3 linked regions of the Arabidopsis thaliana genome follow. The protein of the gene in region 3 interacts with the protein of the main gene of each other region in a pairwise test. Each region holds a gene or a part of one and is shown on either strand. Other genes may lie near its edges. The genes, in order: AT3G22560, AT3G57800 and WRKY38.

Evidence for each region.
Region 1: the proteins of WRKY38 (region 3) and AT3G22560 interact in a two-hybrid assay, tested with the Arabidopsis thaliana proteins (one large-scale study listed by BioGRID).
Region 2: the proteins of WRKY38 (region 3) and AT3G57800 interact in a two-hybrid assay, tested with the Arabidopsis thaliana proteins (one large-scale study listed by BioGRID).

What each region holds. Positions count from the first base shown.
Region 1 is NC_003074.8:7,998,020-8,001,606, reverse strand, and holds AT3G22560 (Acyl-CoA N-acyltransferases (NAT) superfamily protein), read left to right. Parts: upstream 1-2,054; 5' UTR 2,055-2,164; coding exon 2,165-2,692; 3' UTR 2,693-2,982; downstream 2,983-3,587. Other genes in the region: AT3G22570 (Bifunctional inhibitor/lipid-transfer protein/seed storage 2S albumin superfamily protein), read left to right, coding at 446-767, 1,518-1,531; AT3G22565 (uncharacterized protein), read right to left, coding at 1,505-1,690.
Region 2 is NC_003074.8:21,409,514-21,413,272, reverse strand, and holds the start of AT3G57800 (basic helix-loop-helix (bHLH) DNA-binding superfamily protein), read left to right. Parts: upstream 1-1,660; 5' UTR 1,661-1,951; coding exon 1,952-2,497; intron 2,498-2,569; coding exon 2,570-2,683; intron 2,684-2,774; coding exon 2,775-2,840; intron 2,841-3,336; coding exon 3,337-3,432; intron 3,433-3,702; coding exon 3,703-3,747; intron 3,748-3,759.
Region 3 is NC_003076.8:7,495,086-7,498,844, reverse strand, and holds WRKY38 (WRKY DNA-binding protein 38), read left to right. Parts: upstream 1-1,854; 5' UTR 1,855-2,137; coding exon 2,138-2,403; intron 2,404-2,546; coding exon 2,547-2,669; intron 2,670-2,756; coding exon 2,757-3,237; 3' UTR 3,238-3,390; downstream 3,391-3,759. UniProt on the Arabidopsis thaliana protein: Transcription factor. Interacts specifically with the W box (5'-(T)TGAC[CT]-3'), a frequently occurring elicitor-responsive cis-acting element.

The sequences.
Region 1 (3,587 bases), on a different chromosome or scaffold from region 3:
ATACAAAACACGTTATATTATACAATAATCATCTCATGTTCCTTAATCAAACCAAATAACATACAAAATAACATTGCGAAACATATTGTATTGTTATATAGAATGATGCTGATGAATATAAAAAATGTATTACAAGACGTGGTTAAGATGATGTCCACTTTGTAGCCAAAACCAAACAAAATTGACATTAAAAATTATAGTAATACGAACTGTATTGTATTTAAATTATTATTTAATAATGGCTACAAGTTGGCTGTTGGTTAAGTCAAGGAAAAATAACAGCTAATTGTTCATATTATAAAACAAAATTGAACACAAAACACACAGTATTATATTATATATAGTACCAATTAGCTAGCAAGACTCTGAAAAACCAAACGAATCTGAAAAGATCATAACAAAACTCAAAAGATTCTTCTCCAACCACGTATTTCATCAAGGAAACATGAAGATAGGAGTGGTTTTAGTGTTGCTTACAGTTTTCGTGGTTGTGATGTCTTCTACAAGCGTCTCTGCTCAGTCGGACGAGGACGAGTGCTTGAAAGAGACAGGGCAGATGCAGTTGAATTGTTTCCCCTACCTAACTGATAATCGTATCCATACTCCTAGTTTCGCGTGTTGTTCTGAGGTGTATACAGTAGGCAAGACATATGTTGACTGCTTTTGTCAATTCATCAACAATGGAGGCCCTAGCTTCGGTATCGTTGTTTCCCAAAAACTTCTTGATCTGCCAGAGCTTTGTGGCGTTTATGGTGCCTGTGGCAACGGTAAGAATTTCAAAAACACTAGTTTATGAATAAACACCAATCTTCACTCTTCGCGAATTTATGTTATGTCCATGAAATTGATTGAAAAATCTGTGTACCAGTTGGTGATGGCGTTGTCCGTAACCGAAAGTATTTGAATTGATAGAGTCTTTGTTTCAGTTGAGTCAATAACGAAAGACATGGTCTTCCTTTCCTTGTGTTAAATTAAGGAGCCAGCTTTGCCACTTTCCCATTCCTGGTTTGTAGGAGTTACAACTCCATCTCTTTGTACATTCTATTTAAGATTATTAAAAAGCCACAAAAAGGCAATCTTAATTGTCTAAAGAAAAGCCACAAATCCAAATCTGAGACATGGGAAGGAGATGGTAAACTAAATGTTTCGGGTTCAAACTCAAGAGCCATAGATATAGTATGCACAAAACAGATATCCAAAAGGAAACAAATAACTTATGTCAACTTTATAAAATCCTATATTATAAAAAGAATTTTATCATTTTATGGGACAAAGCAATAATCTATCGTTATGAAACATTGAGACCTAATGTGAGATAAGCTCTTGACGTTAGTAGATATAAGAAGCACAAAATTTCAACGAATGCATGCAAAATGAAAAGTAATGTGTTGTGTTTTTAATGATTTACCTCCTTGTTTTCATTTAACTTGATGCATTAACATACCATTTAGACTTGTTTCGGCTACCTGACTAAATATAGCTCATACCTTTGTTGACTGTTTTGTCAATTCCTCAAGAGTGGAGGTTCTAATCTCGGTATCATCAATGTTAACCAAACACAAGTTCTTCGTCTGCCAGTAATTTGTTTTGGTACGGTGACACTTTTCTTGTCATTCAGTGTAATAACGGTATGAAGAAAGATCATCCTAGTACCGTAGTACGTAGTCTTTATGTTATCTGATGCATCCATAATATATCGTGAATTTATGTTACAGGAAATTGATTGAAAAATGTACCAGTAAGGTGATGGAGTTGCAGGAGATGCATAACGGGTTTAGGAGGACATCTAACCGAGCGTGTGTCACAATATATTGTGTTGAACGAGTCTTTGTTTCAGTTGTGTCAATAATGTGGTCTTCATTGTGTTAAGGAGCCAGCTTTCTCACTTTCTCATTCCTGGTATATAGGAGTTACACTCCATCCCTTTCTACATTTGAAAAAGCCTATAAGAGGTAATCAAAATTCAAAAGCGTTACTCTCTGTTATAATTTGGATTTAAGTTCTAAATCTGAGACCCATCATTAACCGATAAGAATAGGCCCAAATCATTAATGGGCCTTTCAATCCTAATAGAATCATCACTTCCAAATATTTACATTTGTTGCATTTTTTGTGTATATTATTAGATTATAGTAAGAGATTTATAAAACTAACAAAATTTTACATGATCATGGAATCACCAAGAATCTTCCTCCGGCCGTTCAATCTCTCCGATGCAGAAGACGTCTTTAAATGGGCCGGTGACGATGACGTCACACGTTACCTCCGTTGGGACTCCGTTAACTCCTTAGAAGAAGCTAAACAACACATCTTAAACAAGGCTATACCACACCCATGGCGCCGTTCCATCTCTCTCCTCCAAGACGGTCATTCGATTGGTTACGTATCCGTCAAGCCAGACTCCGGTGATGGTCGGTGCCGAGCCGACCTCGCATACGCTGTCGCTAAAGAGTTTTGGGGGCGGGGGATAGCCACAGCGGCGGTGAGGATGGCGGTTGAACAAGCTTTGGAGGATTTTCCGGAGGTGGTGAGGCTACAAGCGGTGGTGGAGGTGGAGAACAAAGCGTCCCAAAGGGTTTTGGAGAAAGCTGGATTTCGAAAAGAGGGTTTACTTGAGAAGTATGGTTTTAGCAAAGGAGTCATCAGAGACATGTTTCTCTATAGTTACGTTAAAGATGATTGTTTTGTGTGATAGTTAACGGTAAAAATAATGGAGAAAGTAACTAAATAATATCCGGTTTTTACCGTAATCTGAAATGTTACAATATCAAACGTACGTTAGGTTTGAAGAGATAAAGATGATTACGGCAACAAATGATGGTTGTCTACATGTTCTTGTCATGTCATAATTAAGTTTAAGTCGTGTCGTGTGTCTACGGTGACTCAACCACATATCTTTCTTTCTCTGAATTCTGTCTTGTTCGTGAAAATAATCTCTATAGTAGTAATCTTAACGTCATGAATTGGATAATGATATTGACGAAAATTTATATATGAATGTGAAATGTTAATGGCAAATATATCCATTCTTTTACAAGCTACGGTAATTAGTTTATTTTTTGATTTAAGATACTCCCGTTATTTCAAAAAAAAAAAAAAAAAAAAGAGAGAGAGAAAAAATTCTTCTTTGTCGCATAGATTTCACAAGTTGAAATTGAACGGTCAGATTTTTGAAAAATCAGAACTTGTAAACCACTAAAACAAGAATACTTATGTGTTAGGAATAGATAATAATAGTGGCATGGCGCCAGCAATTACAGAACAGAAAATATTCGGCACTATATAAGTCGGATGAATCATACACTATACATGAAAACAATTAATATTTGGAACATAAAAGTCGGTCCATATATTTAATTATTCAGGAAGTAATGCGAAAAAAAAGTGTGTGAATGAAAGTCTTTGAGAAAGTATCAAGTAGCACGCATGCATCTTGAACAGAAGTCATGCATAGTGTCGTCAAAATCAAATTGATATATGTTTTACAATTCTTGTCCTATCAAATCTTAAATGTGTCAACCTCATATTCAACCACCTCTATGCTTATTTTATTATACAACTTTGATCTTACATATGACATCCTTAAG
Region 2 (3,759 bases), on a different chromosome or scaffold from region 3:
ATGTGTTGGAGATGCCGTAAGTATTGTGAAGATAATCCTCACAGCTTTCTCAGCAATAAAAGAAAATATATCTCTTTAATTTTTTATAAAGGTTTTATGTGTGAATATTAAAAACTTTAGTCTCATATGAGTTCGAGACTGTGCTCGGGAACAAATTTTATAAAGATAAATCATCTAAAATTGAACTGCGTTTATAATGGCAAAGACTTTGCATAATTAGAATGTTTCTTATTGATAAAGACTTTGCATGTTTCATACTCATTTTGACATCTAATTGAATAAAAACAGAAAAGAGCCGTATAGCTTCAAAATCTTTATATTTAGAATAAAGTGTATATATGTGAAAGAGTAACACATATGTACGTAGGAATTAGGTTGGTTAAAGAATTGGCCACATCAATATCTGAGACACCAAAGAAGTAATGGACGTTGGGAGAGTAAGTAACGTTGCCAAATTGGAAATGCCAAAAAAAGATTGTACCTTTCCTCTCTTTGATTGAGACTTTACTACTACACCAAACCTTACATCACCAATCGCTGAAAGTGAAACCGATATTTTAGCACATTTATATTCCACTTCTACACCTTTTTACTAAATTTCAGTTTTGAGATTTACTTACATGAAGAAGAAATTGGCTAATCAAAATAATCAAGCAACGATGATTTGTTGCAATGAAATGGAAATTGGGATTTGGGCTCAGATTATTAGAGCATAAGTGGATTTCCTGTTCGGCCCATTGTGTGAAACAGGTTATTCCACTGGACCCATCTGTTCATCTTTGTCCTCAAATTTTCCTCTCTATCCCCAAAACACCCTTTTAAAGAAGTAACATTAATTGTTTTTTTTTTTCCTTTTAATAAATTTATAAGATATTTTGAATTAATATTATTAGTACGTCTCAATTTTTATTTTATTTTTGCCTTTTATACTCTAAAGTTTTTAATACTTGATGAATTTTGAATATTTTTAAAAAATAAAAAAAATAAAATATTTTTAAAAAATTAATATTACGCTTGGTAGATTTCATCCAACGGCTGAGATAATTACTAAAATGGTGTTTTGAGCTCAATTATTTTTCCATATTAAAAAGTGTTTTTGGTTCTTGGTTATTTACAGGTCAACAAAATAATTTGACACCGGAATCGGAGTCCGTGGAAAGTCAGAAAACCTGATGTAACACCATTTATGGCATTAACTACTGATAATAATACTATACGAAAATCCAATTATTATACCGAGAAAAAAAGAAAAGTGGTCAGAGACAGCAGGCTGGTCCTGCTGAAGAATAAATCTAATCTACCGATTCGATTAAATAAATATGTGCCGTTTTCTGGTACGCCCTATTCAAATCATTTTTATATTATAGTATCAAAATACTTCAAAAATTTACTAATTACAAAATTAAGGAGTGATAAAAAAAGTTTATAATCAGAGATAAAAAGTCACCGGTTAAAGCCCAAAAGGCCCAAGTAATATCCATTGGGATCCAGCAAAATATATAACAAAAGAACCGTACCGTACCTACAATAACCAAAATTGGTTTTCTCTTTCTTTTGTCTAACAGTGGCCTTTATTTAACAGACGCACTCCACTGCTAACGTTGCTTTCGTCCTACTCTTCTTCTGGTGTAAAAGCTTTTCTTCCACACACATTTGAGAAAGAAGACGAAGAAGAAGAGAGAATAACTATTCCTTCTTCGCCAAGTTCTCTGAGCTATAGAAGAAGGAGGGATTTCTTCAGACCGCCATTGTTGCCCACCTTCTCTCCTTTCTATTTTTCGCCGCATTTTACTCGCTTACTGACAAAAGTCTTCTACTCAAGTCTCTCTCTCGCTCTCTTTGGAGGCTCAATTAGGGTTTTGTTGTCGTGAGATTTGATTACACAAATTGCTGAATTTGGTTTCGATTATTGGTGTTATTGTTTTCGAAGATTTCCAGTGAGTTTCCGTTTATGGATCTGACTGGAGGATTTGGAGCTAGATCCGGCGGTGTTGGACCGTGCCGGGAACCAATAGGCCTTGAATCGCTACATCTCGGTGACGAATTTCGGCAACTAGTGACGACTTTACCTCCCGAGAACCCCGGCGGTTCGTTCACGGCTTTGCTTGAGCTTCCACCTACACAAGCAGTGGAGCTTCTCCATTTCACTGATTCTTCGTCTTCTCAACAAGCGGCAGTGACAGGGATCGGTGGAGAGATTCCTCCGCCGCTTCACTCTTTCGGTGGGACATTGGCTTTTCCTTCTAACTCAGTTCTCATGGAGCGAGCAGCTCGTTTCTCGGTGATTGCCACTGAGCAACAAAACGGAAATATCTCCGGGGAGACTCCGACGAGCTCTGTACCTTCCAATTCAAGTGCTAATCTCGACAGAGTCAAGACGGAGCCTGCTGAGACCGATTCATCTCAGCGGTTGATTTCTGATTCAGCGATTGAGAATCAAATCCCTTGCCCTAACCAGAACAATCGAAATGGGAAGAGGAAAGATTTCGAAAAGAAGGTTAGAGTGAGAGACAAATGTTTTTACTTTTTTACATTTGATCCTTCGTTTCATCAGATTGATTTTTTATAGGGTAAAAGCTCGACGAAGAAGAACAAAAGCTCTGAAGAGAACGAGAAGCTGCCATATGTTCACGTTAGAGCTCGTCGTGGTCAAGCAACCGATAGCCATAGCTTAGCAGAACGAGTAACTTGCATCTGCCTTCACTAATTTTTCTTTTTTTTGGTATTAATCAGTTGATTAATTCGCTAATTGATCACTAATTTTTGGATTATAGGCAAGAAGAGAGAAGATAAATGCACGAATGAAGCTGTTACAGGAACTGGTCCCAGGCTGTGATAAGGTTTGTCTCTTAGATATAGACGTGTAATCAATTTGTTAATCAATCATTAGGTCTTCATTTGTGATTAACGACATTATATTTCTCTAATTGATTCACTCCAAAAGTAAGAATTTATTATTAGATGATCTAGTCTTTTTGTTAAGGGTCTTAATCCTTCACACCTACTTTTTTTTTTCTTCCTAAAAAGTGGATTGCTTAATTGCTTTTTTATTAAGAAAAGTGGTTCCTGGTGTGCCAAAGTAGCCAGTTGGGTAATTGTGTAGTAATGCCTTTAGAGATCTCAACTTTATTTTTTTATTTCGTGTGGGGAGAAATATCTCACGGGTACACACTTAGCTTTAAGGTTAACTCAGTCACACGGAAGTGATAGGACCTTGCTTTATCGAATTCTTTTTCCATAAGTGTGTTCGTTGAGCTTGAAGATTAGTCTATAAATGACGAGAATGACCTTAGGAAGTGTGCTAGCTGTAATATGCCATTAAGGTTTTGGGTTTAGGGGACAGATTTTGGTGGAAAGATCAAGATCAAAGTGTGTTTTGGGGTCCATCTTTTGATGATAAGTGGGAAAAAAGTTGCAATCTTTCTATGGAAGGTGAGGAAGGGGTAGTATCGTCTCTAACAAGTTCGGTATCTATCAAGGAAAAATAGAAAATGACTCTTAGAAGGACGATTAAAGCAAATGATCCTTTACAAAAATTGATATGCTTTGAGTCCCACATACCTAATTAGTTGGAAACATGATGTGACACTCCCCCAGACAGCTAATTAATCATCCCTGATGTTAGAAGTTAGCAGCAATTATTGGTGTGATAGAGATGATGATATGGAACATCAGTGTTTGTTTAAAATTTGGATTCTATAGGTGAGCTGTGAGGACTTGATTGATTGTTCCTTTAGCCCCCCTAGGGTATACTGATTA
Region 3 (3,759 bases):
TAAAATTATTAAAAAAATGTATCACCATTATTGTCATGTAAGTCATGTTCACATTCACTTTCCTTTCGCACCATAAAATAATGTGACTTGACCCATAGCTTTGCTTGACTTGTACATATGTGACCCCTTACTCAATATAGTACTAATACCTATACAATATTTAACAATTTGCTAATAACAAGAACAAAATACATGTGGGCAACGTTTCACAGATCAGATCAAAGTCACGTGCGAAAGTTTATATATATATATATATATATATATATATATATATATATCTCTTATGTGTTGATATCTATCAATTTACATTAACCACCCGCAGAAGAAGATAGGGTTGTTAAATTGATGGGTAGATAGAACTTAACATTCTTTACAAACTTTGTAATTTGTTGTATAGTTTCATGAATGGTGTTAATTCATGGCCTGAAAATACCATCGATGTATACAATCTGATAAGGATAAATTGTTTTGGATTGACCATCTATTAGTTTTAAAATATGATTGTATAACTTGGATTGGTTAGCTTTCAGATTATACTATATATTCAAAACAAGCTTTTGTACGTATATTATATCATTTTATCCGCTTAAAATGTAATTACTAATTTTTCTTTCATATAAGATTCAAGTTTACCTAAAGAAAAAGGATTCAAGATTACCAGTTATCTTTTGCAAAGCTTATTAATTATAAATTCTTAAAATTTTAGATTAAATTAAAATATGGACCGAGTAGCCAACGAATGAATCTCACATCACGGCATAGTTGACTAGTTGTTGTTAGTATATAATATAATCAACATTGCTGCTTCGTTCTGACGTCAATCTGCTGAATCAGCCCCTTCAACAAAAACTACGTCATGGGGCTGACGTCGAGTGTCCGACGAAACTAATGCCGTTTTCATTGGTGCATTAGTCGCCACTCGCCAGCTACATCGCAATTATTTCTCTCTTTAAGCGTTGAAAAATTGTCTAGATCTTACTTGTTAATGTTATTCTATTACCTAATAATTATCTTTTGTCTGGTCTAAATACTTACATTTTTATTTAAAATCTGAACCAAAACTCACCAAAAAATTAGATAATTTTACCATTAAAGATATCCACGACTAGTGGAGTATTTTCATTACAAAAAAATGAATTGATCATATCATATGTGTTCGAAGCTTATTATATTGAGCAAAAAAACATTATTTGTACACGTTTCATCTTTGATGAGGTAAACATTGCGATGGACGTGTAAAATATGTTATACTTTTTTTTTTTGTGAACATCCAATCTATTACATACATTTGTTTTTTTTTGTCATATGAACGTAAAATATATTATTTTCAAAACTCTATATTATTAGTTACCGTATAAATTATAATTAAAACCACCTATCAAAATATTAAATAAAAAATATTTAACGATATACAATCAACAAAATTAAGCAAACAAATTTATTCTTAAATTTCATCTGCTATATATTTTCAAAAAAAAAATAAAAAAAATTGCGACACATATTGAAATGGAAAGATTACAAAAGAAAATTTTAAAATCATTGCTAATTTGGGGTTTATCATAGCTCATATCTCTCTCTAATATATCTGACTTTGTAGAACACAGTTTTCTATTAGATTCCTCCTATCTTGAAACCTTTTAGTGTTCTGAAAGGAGTAGTTTTTAATTTTTAATCTTTAATTATTAAGCGAACCGCGTAGATTAGTGTAATAAGAGAAACAGATAAATTCTGAAACAATTAAAAACAGATTGTATATAATTAAGTGAGCCGCGTACTGGGAAAGGTATATAAAATAAACTCTGTTTCCTATACATCATGACAGATCATATGCTAATGTCAACACCTAATCTATCTTTTTGTCTCTCTTTATTTAGATTCACGCATATAAGTCTAGCAGAGCACATGTCCTATATCGAAATTATAATTTATCATTGGCTTCTTAAAATATAACCTAGTGTATGTAAATTATATTTGGTAAACCCAAATTGGCAAAGTCATTTGGGAACGTGTATGTACGACTAGTCCTATAAATTCTGATCTCCCTATCCGTTCAAAAGTTTATAGCACAGAGAAGAGACTTGAGAAAAAGAAAACAAACAAGAAACACATACACACACACACAAGTTCACTATACTCTATGGAAATGAACTCCCCACACGAAAAGGCGGTGCAAGCTATCCGTTATGGCCATAGCTGCGCCATGCGGTTGAAGAGGCGGCTCAACCATCCAATGGCTGATGGTGGACCGCTTTCAAGTTATGATCTTGCTAAATCGATCGTTGAAAGTTTTTCCAATGCCATTTCAATCTTATCTGCTAAACCAGAAACCGAAGATGATCAGTTTTCTGATTTATCTTCTAGGGATTCTTCTCCTCCTCCACAGGGGAGCCCCTCCAAGAAAAGGTATACACTTATGAGTTTGTTTTCTTTTTTGAGTTTGTTTTTGTTTTTCCAAATGAAACCACAATTCTTAATATAAGTATTTTTTTTCTTAGGAGTATATGTTGATTTTAATGCTAATATTTTGATAATACTCATGTTTGCAGAAAGATTGATAGTACAAATTCAAGTGAGAATTGGAGGGACGATTCACCGGATCCGATTTACTACGACGGGTATCTTTGGAGGAAATATGGTCAAAAGAGTATAAAAAAATCTAATCACCAAAGGTAAGAAATAGTATAGCTAATCATATTTCATCATAATTATTTCTATCCCGATCACTCATACTAATTGGTGTATGATGATGGTAACAGGAGTTACTATAGATGTTCTTACAACAAAGATCATAACTGCGAAGCAAGAAAGCATGAACAAAAGATCAAAGACAATCCTCCGGTTTACCGAACCACTTACTTTGGCCACCACACTTGCAAAACCGAACATAATCTAGATGCCATTTTTATTGCCGGACAAGATCCCCTAGATGACTTTAAAAGTACCCAAATGATCCGATTCGGAAAAGATCAGGATCAGGAGAAGGAAAGCCGCTCGAACGGTTTCTCCTTATCGGTTAAGCATGAAGAAGATATCATCAAAGAGCAAGCTATAGATCAGTACCGTGAGATAACCAGTAATGACCAAGATTGTCAAGATGTTATAGAAGAATATCTATCATCACCATCAGGCTCTTATCCTCCTTCATCGTCATCTGGCAGTGAAAGTGCTGACTTTAATTCTGATTTGTTATTTGACAACCCAGACTCGTGGGATCGTTATGATCAGTTTTACTTTTGATTGCACTAGATTTTTCAGCTAAAACTATTTAATAATGTTTTCCTTTTTATGAGATTGTATATATTTGAGAATTGTGACTATTTAAGTATTTATGTTATTGATTAGATAATCCGAGAACAATATTTATATTCACCCCTAAGAGTTTATTTCCGGCCAATAAAACTCTATCATCTAATAAATAAATTAAAAATTCATTTGATTATAAAATATAAATTTCAACCACTTTTTGTGTAAACCTAAATCGATCTATAATCTCGTTTAATTATAAAATCTAAACTCTCATTCATCTTTAAAAGCTCAAAACCGACATTTTAACCTTGTTTAATTGTAAAATATAAATTCTAACCATTCTTTCTAATCCCAAACTCACATTTAACCTCGTTTAATTGTAAAATCTAAATATGTTTATAAACCAAACCCAACATTTAATTTGACCTCGTTTATTTACAAACTAAACCATAATTCTCCTTTACAAACTCATACCAACATTTAACCTCGTTTAGTTTTAACGTCTATAATCCT